Linked DNA regions of Diceros bicornis minor. The main gene of each other region encodes a partner of the protein of the gene in region 3 in a complex. Links are inferred from orthologs where the notes say so. Each region holds a gene or a part of one and is shown on either strand. Other genes may lie near its edges. The genes, in order: CHRM2, ADRA2A and GNAO1.

Region 1 (2,807 bases), on a different chromosome or scaffold from region 3:
AGTGGGAAAAGGGGAAGGTAAAAAAATAAGCATTTATTATGTTGCATTTTTCCAAATAAAATCATAACAAAAGAATAATATATGCTTAACACTCTGGAGACCATTTCCACATCCTTTTTTGATTTTCTTCCTTCACTTCCTCAGTGTATGTCTATTTCTTTCTGTTTAAGTGTGCATGTTAACTTGTAATTGTGGCATTTCATCCTCATATGGACACACGGGAAATAAAAAAAATGAAAAAAATGGAGCGAGGTTATTAATCTTATTGTGCAGAGATAAAATTGTAGATTCAAAAGCCCTTCTTCAAGAGCGTACGAGAAAGCGTAGACCGTTCCTTAAATCCACAAGTCCAACACATCTCTTTCACGGCCTCATTGCTCCTAAACTGACAGGGTTTATAAGGTGCAAGTTTCTCAAACTGGAGCATAGGCACCGTAAGAGTGTCACTGTTGGGCTCCTTAATTGCACATTCCATAATAAGACTATAAAGTGCAATGGCAGAGATTTTAAAACTAGGAGCTCTTTTATCCCTTTTCTTCTTCCCAAGCTCCCCTTGATCACCTTCCATCTTTACAAGGATGTTTTACCTTGTAGCGCCTATGTTCTTGTAATGACACATGAGAAGGTGTTTAAAGGTCTTCTTGAAGGTGGCATTACAAAGTGCATAACACGCGGGGTTGATAGTGCTGTTGATGTAACAGAGCCAATAACCAATTGTCCACACTGTGTTGGGGATGCAAGGTGCACAGAAGGTGTTAATGAGCACCATGACATTGTATGGGGCCCAAGTGATGATGAAAGCCAACAGAATAGCCAAGATCGTCCTGGTCACTTTCTTTTCCCGGGAAGGAGGAGGCTTCCTTTTTGCAGGCTGCTTAGTCATTTTCACAATCTTTCGAGCTACGATGTTTTGTTTTTCATCTCCATTTTGACCTGAAGAACCAACTAGCTCCACGGTGGTATTAGTTGGGGTACATGAGTCACCTTTTTGGGTCTTGGTGACAATTTTGATGCATGTTTGCTTAGAGTTCTCATCTTTGGAATGGCCCAAGGAAGTGGAAACTGTGTTTTCATCCTGGGTTATTTCATCATCTCTCATATTAGAGGCGACAGCACTGACTGAGGTGGAATCATTGGAGCTCTCTTTCTCCTCCCCCTGGACACAGTTTTCAGTCACAGCATCTCTGGGGGCTTTGCCATTCTGGATTTTGTTGTGCTCCAGGGCATCATCACTGCCGGGCATGTTGTTGTTGTTTGGCTTCACTATCCTTCCTTGTATCAGACTTGGAGAAACTGGATGTTGGTTGGCCACAGGCTCCTTCTTGTCTTTCTTTATCCTGCTCTTGCTGGCTCGGGATATATGCCAGTATAACACAGTCATGATGATCACAGGCAAATAGAAGGCTGCAATGGCTGTACCAAAAGTGACAGCAGCGTTGGAAAAAAACTGAATGTAGCATTCCCCATCCTCCACAGTTCTCACCCCTACAATGAACTGCCAGAAGAGAATGGCCGGAGCCCAGAGGATGAAGGAGAGGACCCAGGCAGCTGCAATCATCATACCTGCCATTTTCGTGGTCCGCTTGACTGGGTAGGTGAGCGGTTTCGTGACACAGAAGTACCTGTCAAAGCTGATGATGAGCAGATTCATCACTGAGGCATTGCTGACCACATAGTCCAGGGCTAGCCAAAGGTCACACACCACAGGTCCCAAAGGCCAGTAGCCAATCACAGTGTAGAGGGTATACAAGTTCATGGAGAAAACACCAATGATGAGGTCAGCACAGGCCAAGCTGAACAAAAAGTAATTGTTGACGGTCTGGAGGTGGCGGTTGACTTTAATGGAGACCATGACCAGGATGTTCCCAATAATGGTCACCAAACTGAGGGATCCAGCCACAAGGACAATAAACACCACTTCAAATGTCTTATAAGGACTGGTCAGAGCCAGGCCATTGTTAGAGGAGTTTGTTGAGTTATTCATTTTGTGTTCTCTAATCGGGAGCCAAGAAGACAAATACACATTTAAACCTGCAAGGAAATAGAAGAAAATTAACAAATATAATAGAAACATTGCTTTAAAATGTATCAGATTTTTTCCTTTTGAACTACATTTTTTCTCCAAAATCTTCCTTCCTTCCCCTACATGTTTACTGTGCCTACCTGCCCCAGTTCTCCACATAAAAGGCAAAAGCTTCAAATGGAGGATTCAAAAGATCCTTTCAGGCCAGCAATATATTTGAAGTCTGATAACATTCTGAATGTGTCCATACCTAGACATGAATATATCTGTCTGTCTGTCTATCTATCTATCTATCTATCTATCTATCTATCTATCTGTCATCAATCAGTTAAACTGAGTATAATATTGGTGAATTGAACTAAATAAACCAAAATTATAAAGGAAATTTTCTGAGCATCAAGAGGTTCTGGTACAGACATAAAAATTAATAAACCAATGGGAAGATAAAATTATGAAAGAAAATATAAAACTTATTATATTGAATGTGTGACTTTTATAGTCAATAGCACCTTTCCACCTGGTAGCTCTAAGTGTTTTCCATAATGATACTGAAAATGATAATAATAAAGATAAGATAATAATACTTTATTAGCCAATACACTCCCCCCAATGACTATTATTTTTCTCTGATCTCTGTTTTATGCTTGTAGTAAGTGTCACATGGTTAGCACTTCCAATATTCCATATCCTGCAAAAGAAGTTACTTATTAAATACATATTGATGTGATTATGTAAATTTTATGAATGTTTTATTTTTCAAATCACTGCCAAGTCTATTATGTTA
Region 2 (3,747 bases), on a different chromosome or scaffold from region 3:
ACAACGTGTCTGCCTCCAGGGCATCTCCAACAGCCAGGATTCTGACATCAAAAGCAAAGCGACACTGGGGACCCTCCTGTGTGCACTATCAAAAATAGTGTATATTTACAGTGGGGGATGGGAGGGGGGGCAGGACGGCCCTGAGCGTTTGTTTAAAAATAGAGTTGGTGGGAGGGAGACAGCAATCAGCGGGGCCTGGGTAACCCCCGTCCATTAACCCTTTGTGAGCCGTACGCTCTGGGGTCCAGCGCTTGCTCTGAACTGCTGTCAGAGTTGGACTGGGACGTGAAAATATCTTTAGGAAACAACACTGATTAGGGGCGGCCCAAGAACCTAGAGAGATGGCTCCCAGTCAGAAGCAGCCCTAACAACAGTTGGGGGGCGTGTGGCCCTCCCAGCCAGTACTTTTCCCTGGTAGGGAAGAGCAGATGCCCGGAAGCCGCAGAGCAACCTCCCGGGCCAGGAAACGCAGAGTAGGCAGGACCCTGGTTTCAGAGTACTAGGCCTGCGTAGACGCGCCCCTGGATCCCAGCTGCCTGCGATCTGCACGAGTCTGTTCGCGCGGCGCGGGCTCCGCGCTCACACGATCCGCTTCCTGTCCCCGCGGCAGAGGATCTTCTTGAAGGCGCGGCGGAAGTCGTGGTTGAAGATGGTGTAGATGACCGGGTTCAGCGAGCTGTTGCAGTAGCCGAACCAGAAGAAGAACTTGAAGAGCGTGCGCGGCACGGAGCAGCCGACGGCCGTGAGCGTGTAGGTGAAGAAGAAGGGGAACCAGCACACCACGAACACGCCGATGACCACGGCCAGCACGAACGTGAAGCGCTTCTCGCGGTTCTGCCGCCCGCGCCAGCGCGACGCCTTGGCGCCCCCGCCGCGCTCCTCCCCGGGACCGGCCGCCGGCGCCCCCGGCCCGCGCCGCGGCAGGCTGTCCCCGGGCTTCACCTGGGTCACCCGGGCTTTGCCCTTGGCCCGGGGGCCGCGCTCGGACCTGCGAGGCCCGGGGGGCCGCTCGGCGTGCTCAGACGACGAGCTCTCCTCCAGGTCCAGCGCGTCGGTGTCGCGCGGCCCTGCCGGCGCGGGCTCCCCGGGGGCACCGTTAAGCTGGGCGGGCAGCGGCTCGACCTCGGCGCCCACGGGGCCCATGCCGCGCTCCGGACCCAGGCCGTTGGGCCTGCGCTCGGCGCCCCCCGGCGGCGCGGCGCCCGCATCCGGGCCCCGCCGGCTGGGCGGCACGCGGGTGCGGCGCTTGGCGATCTGGTAGATGCGCACGTAGACCAGGATCATGATGAGGCAGGGCGCGAAGAAGGAGCCGATGCACGACGAGATGACATACCACTTCTGGTCGTTGATCTTGCAGTGCGGCTCGGCCGGCTGCTGGCCGCTGCCGCCGCCCTTCTTCTCGATGGAGATGAGCGGCGGGAAGGAGATGACGGCCGAGATGACCCACACGGTGATGATGATGGCCTTGATGCGGCGTGGCGTGCGCTTCAGGTTGTACTCGATGGCCTGCGTGATGGACCAGTAGCGATCCAGGCTGATGGCGCACAGGTGCACGATGGACGATGTGCAGAAGAGCACATCGAGGGCCAGGTAGATCTCACACCACACCTTGCCAAAGTACCAGTAGCCCATGACCTCGTTGGCCAACGAGAAAGGGATGACGAGCGTGGCCACCAGGATGTCGGCCGAGGCCAGAGACACGAGGAAGAGGTTCTGGGGCGCCTTGAGCGCGCGGCTTGTGAACACGGCGATGATGACGAGCACGTTGCCGAACACGGTGAGCAGCATGAGCAGGCCGGCCAGGCATACCAGCGTCAGCGTCACCTGCAAGGAGTAGGGGGTGGCCCGGGCGCCGCCCCCCGGCGCCTCGGTCCCGTTCCAGCTCGCGTTGCCCGCGTCCGGCTGCAGGGAGCCCATGGGCGCGAAGCTGCCCTCGGCCAGCGGCTGCTCCTGGCGGAACATGAACGCGGGTGCCCGCTGGCCTGGGCCTGCTGCCAGCTGCCTTCCGGCCCAGCGCCGTGGGTCTTCCTCTTCCTCCCGCGCCCCGCTCGCCCCGCCAAGGCTCACATGGGGAGGGGGCCGCAGGAAGGTCGGGCCCGAGCTGGGGGACCGCTAGCGGCCCATGGGCCCGGCTCCAGCGAACCGCGCCCGACCCACGCTTCGGGCGCTCGGGGTGGGCGCCTTCTCGCTCCCAGCTCCTAAATACAGCCAAGTTTTATTTCTGAGCGACGGGAGAGAGTAGATCGAGCAGATGGGGAAAGAGATTTATTCTTCAAGAAGGGAGAACAAAAGTCATCGGTGGCCTGATGACTTGAAAGGATGACGGGATATTAAATATATATATCTCTCTCGACTCTCGAGCCTGAGCGAAAGCAAGAGGTCTTACCGTGTGCGGGGCCCGCCCCCACCCCGGGAGGCAGCCGAGGGGTGCTGATGCGGGCTTGGGGTCCTATGTCTGTCTCCTTACATCCCCGAAGCGATTACCGACTCTCTCGCTTCCCCCAGACGCGGCGGGGCCGGCGGAGCCCGGGCTGGGGCCGGGGTGCGGACTCTGCCACCTCTCAGAGCGCCGCGGGACTTCCAAAGTTGCGTGCCCTGCTGGGGCTGGGGCGCAGCGCGCGGAGCTCGGGGGCGGCGGCGGCGGCGGGGTGAGGGGGGTGGGGGCCGCATGAAGGCGCCCCCGTCCTCAGGAGGGCCGGGCCGGGTGGGCGATCGGCCCTCCAGGAGCCGCGGCCGAAGCAGGGAGTCTCCTGGGCGTCGGCCCGGCGAGCTGCGGGCACTGCGCGCGACCGGACAGCCGGGGTCCGAGGGCAGCGTGAGTTGGGGCAGGAGCGCAGGGCTAGGGGGAGAAGGTGCTGGGGGTGGCCGGGCGGCAGCGCGCCGGCTGCTGGGTGTCTGCACCGAAGCCAGAGCCGCTGCTGCTCCGCCGTGCTCACCGTGAACTGGTTTTATAGCCCCAGGATCAAGCCGGCGTTGCCGAGCAGCGGGCGTCAGCCCCCACGTGGGAAACAGACCCTCCCCCGCCCCTTGCGCCTCCCCTCCACCGGTCTAGCGCCCGCGCCCCGCGCCAGACCCAGGGGAGCGCTGCCCCCTTGGCGCGACGAGCCCTTTGGAGAGGCGGGTACCTTGAGCGAGAGGTTTAAAGAGCGTGCCCGGGGAATGGGGAGCGGTCCCTGCTGGGAATTGGCCGAGCAGCTCCGGGACGGGCCAGCAGAAAGCAGTGGGCACCCGAGAGTGCCCCCATCGAGCTGAGTCCTGGGAGGAAAGGGTGTCGGAAAGCCCTGGCCCGAATCAGGAGAAGCAGCCACCGGTACGGGTCGTATCCGGAACAGCCCCGCCCTGGGCCGGCCCGCCCTCGTCCGCAAGTGCTCCTCGCGGCCGGGGTGAAGTGGGTCGTGGTGAGAGAGGAAGGCACAGGTTTGGATGGAACCCCCTAGGGCGGAATGGGAACCGCCCCCGGGGGAGCGGGCCCGGCCAGATTTCAGAGACCCGCTTAGGGGAGAGGTGGCCTACGTATCGTCCCAGCCACAGAGCTGTCTGCGAGACGCGAGTGGCCCGGGGTCTGGACCGCGCCCCCTTAGACCGCGGTGGGGAGGGGTCCTGGAGGCGGAGGCCGCGCGCAGTGACAGAGCGAGGGCGCACTGACACCTGCTGGCCGCTCCTCGTCACGGCTGGGAAGCCCCGCCGGCGCCGGGTGCCTTCTCCCGCCCCTGTAGTCCTTTGCCTACAGCGCCTTCTCCTATCTCA
Region 3 (3,747 bases):
ACCGACCTGCAAGGGTTCCAGGCAGATGCAACATGCACCTTGTTGCAAAGAGCAATTCCCCAGGCCCCGCCTCCCCGTCCATTTGGGTTGCACAAGCTCCAGAGAAGCCCCAGGCCAAATTACCCGTGGCTCAGAGGGGTGCGGCGAGCCGAGGGGGCCTCTGCAAAGAAAGCCCCGGGGAGCTCTCGAACAAAAATAAGAGCACGTCAAGCAGACGGGGGAAATTGTCTCCGAGTCGCTACTCCCTACCATCATGGCGCCGCCTAGAACCCGCTTGTCATGCCTGTTACACATGCAAGATTTTTTGCATCTTGTTCTGAAAGCAAAAGCATGCTTCGTCTCCCACCCACCTTTCCACGAAAGGGGTTTTTATTTTCCATTGTTTTCCTACGGGATGCAATTACTTCGCCTATGCTGTCAAGTTGAAAAATAATCATTTTTGTTTACTGCACAGCAACCTCTAATTAGGAGCTGTGTGTGCACGAAGGTGTCACAGCAAAGCGACGTGGAATCCTCGCTAAACGGTCTTAACGAACTCCTCCGTCCCGAACCGACAGGCCAACGGAAGCAGCAGGGCCAGGAGGCCCTGCGGGCGCGCACCCCTTCCCCGCCGGCCACCCCCTCCCCCAGCAAAGCTGCCTGAGGGCTCACCAGGAACTGCCGAGCGGAGTGCATGGGGCCAGAAGCGAGCCCGAGAGTGGGAAGGAGGGGCGAGGCTCCTTATCGAGAAAGTGTGGAAGGGAAGAAATATCCCATTTTGTTTTAATTTTCAACCATCACTCAAATCCACCCCCAGTTAATTAGGAGGGGAAACTGATATCTAAGGCAGAAGGGGGCGGCGGCAAGCGGGGCCTGAAATCCGCATTGGGGGTAGATTACATGGAACACGGCCTATGCAGAGTGTAAATAAATACATTGATAAAGGCCACAGAGTGAAAGAAAACTGCCAGTGTCAGGAGAGCGAACGCTGGGAAGGGTGGGGGAGGAAGGGCGGCCAGCAAGGGGCGGGCATTCAGCCTCACAGCCAGTGTCCCCCTTCCACCTCTGCCTTGGATACAGCTGTGCCAGTCACATAAGCTGGGAAACCCCCACCCCCTTCCCTACCACACGCCCCCTCCCCTAACCCTCGTCCTCTTTTTGGGGGGAGAGGGGGCAGAAACCACAGTCTCCAATTCAGCACCAAATCCATGAACAGCAGACACTTGATCATCCACCCCAGTCTAGGGCTGGGTCCCCTCCGTGTTTTAGCCAAGTTCAAAATCACTGCCCCAGGAGGAGAGCAGGGCGAAGTGAGATTATGGATGTGGGGTGGGGGGTGGAGGGAGGAGGAGAGAGAAATAGAGACAGAATGAAACAGAGACACAGAGACAGAAATGCAGGCATCAATACACACGAAACACCCCACGAGCAAGAGTAATGATCATAATCATGCCAATAGTGTGATGTTCTGATCAATATGGCGGACACTGTCATTCATACAACTACAGGCGCTCCCCTTCCCTCCCCCCCCCAAAAAACACCCACCCGGGGAGTTGGGGTGGAGGACTCAGAACCAACGTTGGGCGTGGGGGAGGGGAGTCAAACCCAGGTCTGTGTGTGTGTGTGTGTGCGTGTGTGTGTGTGTGCGTGTGTGCACGAATTAAAAACTGGGCCCGGAGAGCAATGTAGAGTGAGCAAGGTAACACAAATGATAAAAAATTATTCTTAATAAAAGTACAAATCCCAATGGCACAGGGACTTACTTCATCTGCTTCACAATGGTGCTTTTTCCTGATTCTCCAGCCCCTGTTGGGACAGACAGGGGGGAAAAACTGGTGAGTGTCAGCTTAGGGGAACGGGGTGGGCAGGGGGATAAGGCATGCGAGGGGGTGGGCGATCCTGGGCACATGGTGGTGCCAACTCGGGACCAGGTCTTCCCGGGCCCGAGTGGGGTGGGGGAGCTGGCGGAGGGGGTGCGGAGGGGCCGGGGTCTGGGGATAGGGGTGGCAGCCCCGGTCCTTACCCAGCAGGAGTAATTTCACGTCTTTGGCGGCGCTGATGCCATCCTCTTTGAGGTTTTTCTCAATCGCCTTGCTCCGCTCGAGGGCGGCTCTCTCCTCTGCGCTCAGAGTACATCCCATGGTGGCCCCTTCCCTGCCACAGCCCGCACGACTCGGCTGGCACTGCTCCCCGGCTCGGCGCGCCCCCCACCCCCCCAGAGAGCAGAGCCTGGGCTCAAAGGGGAAAAAAATCACGATATCCTCCCCTCGGCAGAAAACAAAAATGTCGGGAAACCAGAACCCCCCAAAAAGACAGCCGCTAACAAGATTCCAGCAGCGGAGAGTCGCGGCAGCTGGCGCGGCTCTGGGGGTGTCGAGGCGAGGGTGGCCGGGGTCTGGGGATCCGGAGCCCAGGGAGGAGGCGCCCGCGGTCCGTGGAGGCGCGGGCTGCAGGCACTGAGGCTTGTGCACGACCCAAACTAAATAAAATACTAGTCGAGGCAGGAGCCGCAGCCCGAGCCGGCGGAGGGTGGGGTGGGGGGCAGGGTGGGTCCTTCTGCCGCTGCTGCCGGAGGAGGAGGCGGCGGCGGCGGCGGCGCGGGGTGTGGAGGGAGCGAGTGAGGGGGTGCTGCTAGTGCATGTGCATCGCCGGTCCTGAGCCGTCGGTGCGTCCGCGGCGCCTTCGCCGACCCCCGCGCGCTGGGCAGGGCTGGGCAGGGGGCCGGGCCGGGGGCAGGTCTCTAGCGGGAGGCGGCGTCGCTGTCTCCCAGAGCTCGCATCGCTCAGTGGAGCCTACCGGAGAGAGAGGGAGGGCGCGAGGGAGCCGCGGGCAGCCGGGAGCTCGAGGGGGAGAGAGAGAGAGGCTGGGAGGGAGGGGAGAAGAAAATGAAGGGAGAGCGCGCGCGCCACAGCCCGGGCGGGGGAGGGGGCGAGTGCGCCAGCGGCTCTGCGCACCCCGCACCGCGAGCCGCCCGCTGACGTCAGCAGGGCCGCGCGCCGGGCCCCCGGGACGGGGAGGGGCGGGGGGCGCAGGGGGCGCGCGCGCCCGGGCCGCGTCAGCCGGCGGCGGCGCGCGCTCGGCGCGGCCTCCCCTCCTCCAGCGCTCCCCGGGCCCGCAGCTCCCCCGAGTGGGCGCGCGCGGGGCCTGGTGGGGGCGGGGCCTGGGGCCGGGCGCGCGCCGGGACGCCCCTCCCCGCCCCCGCCCCCGCCCCCGCCCCGCGCGCCCGCTGCGCCGGCCTCCTTGTCAATGGGAGCGCGGGGCCGCGCCGCCCGCGCGGCGGTCAGGCGGGTCCCCCGGCTCGCGCCCCGCGCCACTTTTCTCGCTCTCCGGCTCCCTCTCCATCTTGGCTCCAGCAGCTCGCCTTCTTGATTGTGCTCCTGCTGCTGGGGCCGTAGAGCCGAGGCCGAGCGTCCTCAGCAAACGCGAGGAGACAGTGGGTCAGAGTAAACCTGCGTTCCCGATAATTCGCCTCTGGGGCATGGGGGCAGATTCGGATTTTTCGCTTCCTGCGTCCCACATTTATTGAGCACCTAGTATGTGAGAGAGGAGGCTGTGAGCAGGGGAACACAGCAGGATGAGACAAAGCCAGGGCCTGTTCTCTGGGAGCCTCTGCCTGCCTCCCTTTGCCATCGCGAACTCTGCTCCAGGATTCCCGGCCATAGGTATCAGCGCAGGAGACAGTTCCCACCATGGGAAGCTTTTGGAGGGGAGGACAGGTTTTCATGCGAGTGAGCTTCTAGCAAATGCTTACTCCCTCAATACAGAGTT

The links.
Region 1: the proteins of GNAO1 (region 3) and CHRM2 are in contact, whole or in part, in a cryo-EM structure (PDB 7T8X), measured with the Homo sapiens proteins. The link is inferred for Diceros bicornis minor from reciprocal best matches to the Homo sapiens genes GNAO1 and CHRM2. Residues at the interface, in NP_066268.1 of Homo sapiens: Lys24, Ile28, Ala31, Lys32, Leu195, Tyr320, Asp337, Ala338, Thr340, Asp341, Ile343, Ala345, Asn347, Leu348, Gly350, Cys351, Gly352, Leu353, Tyr354; in NP_000730.1 of Homo sapiens: Asn58, Arg121, Cys124, Val125, Pro128, Leu129, Thr130, Pro132, Val133, Lys134, Thr136, Ile209, Ser213, Lys214, Ser215, Arg216, Ile217, Arg381, Lys384, Val385, Thr388, Ile389, Cys443.
Region 2: the proteins of GNAO1 (region 3) and ADRA2A are in contact, whole or in part, in a cryo-EM structure (PDB 7W6P), measured with the Homo sapiens proteins. The link is inferred for Diceros bicornis minor from reciprocal best matches to the Homo sapiens genes GNAO1 and ADRA2A. Residues at the interface, in NP_066268.1 of Homo sapiens: Ile28, Lys32, Lys193, Asn194, Leu195, Asp218, Phe336, Thr340, Asp341, Ile343, Ile344, Ala345, Asn347, Leu348, Gly350, Cys351, Gly352, Leu353, Tyr354; in NP_000672.3 of Homo sapiens: Arg77, Arg146, Ser149, Ile150, Ala153, Ile154, Asn157, Leu158, Arg160, Pro162, Ile234, Ala238, Arg241, Arg383, Arg386, Phe387, Val390, Leu391, Phe444, Asn445, His446.

The regions. Positions count from the first base shown.
Region 1 is NC_080742.1:85,269,096-85,271,902, reverse strand, and holds CHRM2 (muscarinic acetylcholine receptor M2), read right to left. Parts: upstream 1,985-2,807; coding exon 584-1,984; downstream 1-583. UniProt on the Homo sapiens protein: The muscarinic acetylcholine receptor mediates various cellular responses, including inhibition of adenylate cyclase, breakdown of phosphoinositides and modulation of potassium channels through the action of G proteins.
Region 2 is NC_080745.1:74,812,897-74,816,643, reverse strand, and holds the start of ADRA2A (alpha-2A adrenergic receptor), read right to left. Parts: upstream 2,921-3,747; 5' UTR 1,963-2,920; coding exon 580-1,962; 3' UTR 1-579. UniProt on the Homo sapiens protein: Alpha-2 adrenergic receptors mediate the catecholamine-induced inhibition of adenylate cyclase through the action of G proteins.
Region 3 is NC_080771.1:9,768,861-9,772,607, reverse strand, and holds the start of GNAO1 (guanine nucleotide-binding protein G(o) subunit alpha), read right to left. Parts: upstream 2,765-3,747; 5' UTR 2,121-2,764; coding exon 2,003-2,120; intron 1,786-2,002; coding exon 1,743-1,785; intron 1-1,742. UniProt on the Homo sapiens protein: Guanine nucleotide-binding proteins (G proteins) function as transducers downstream of G protein-coupled receptors (GPCRs) in numerous signaling cascades.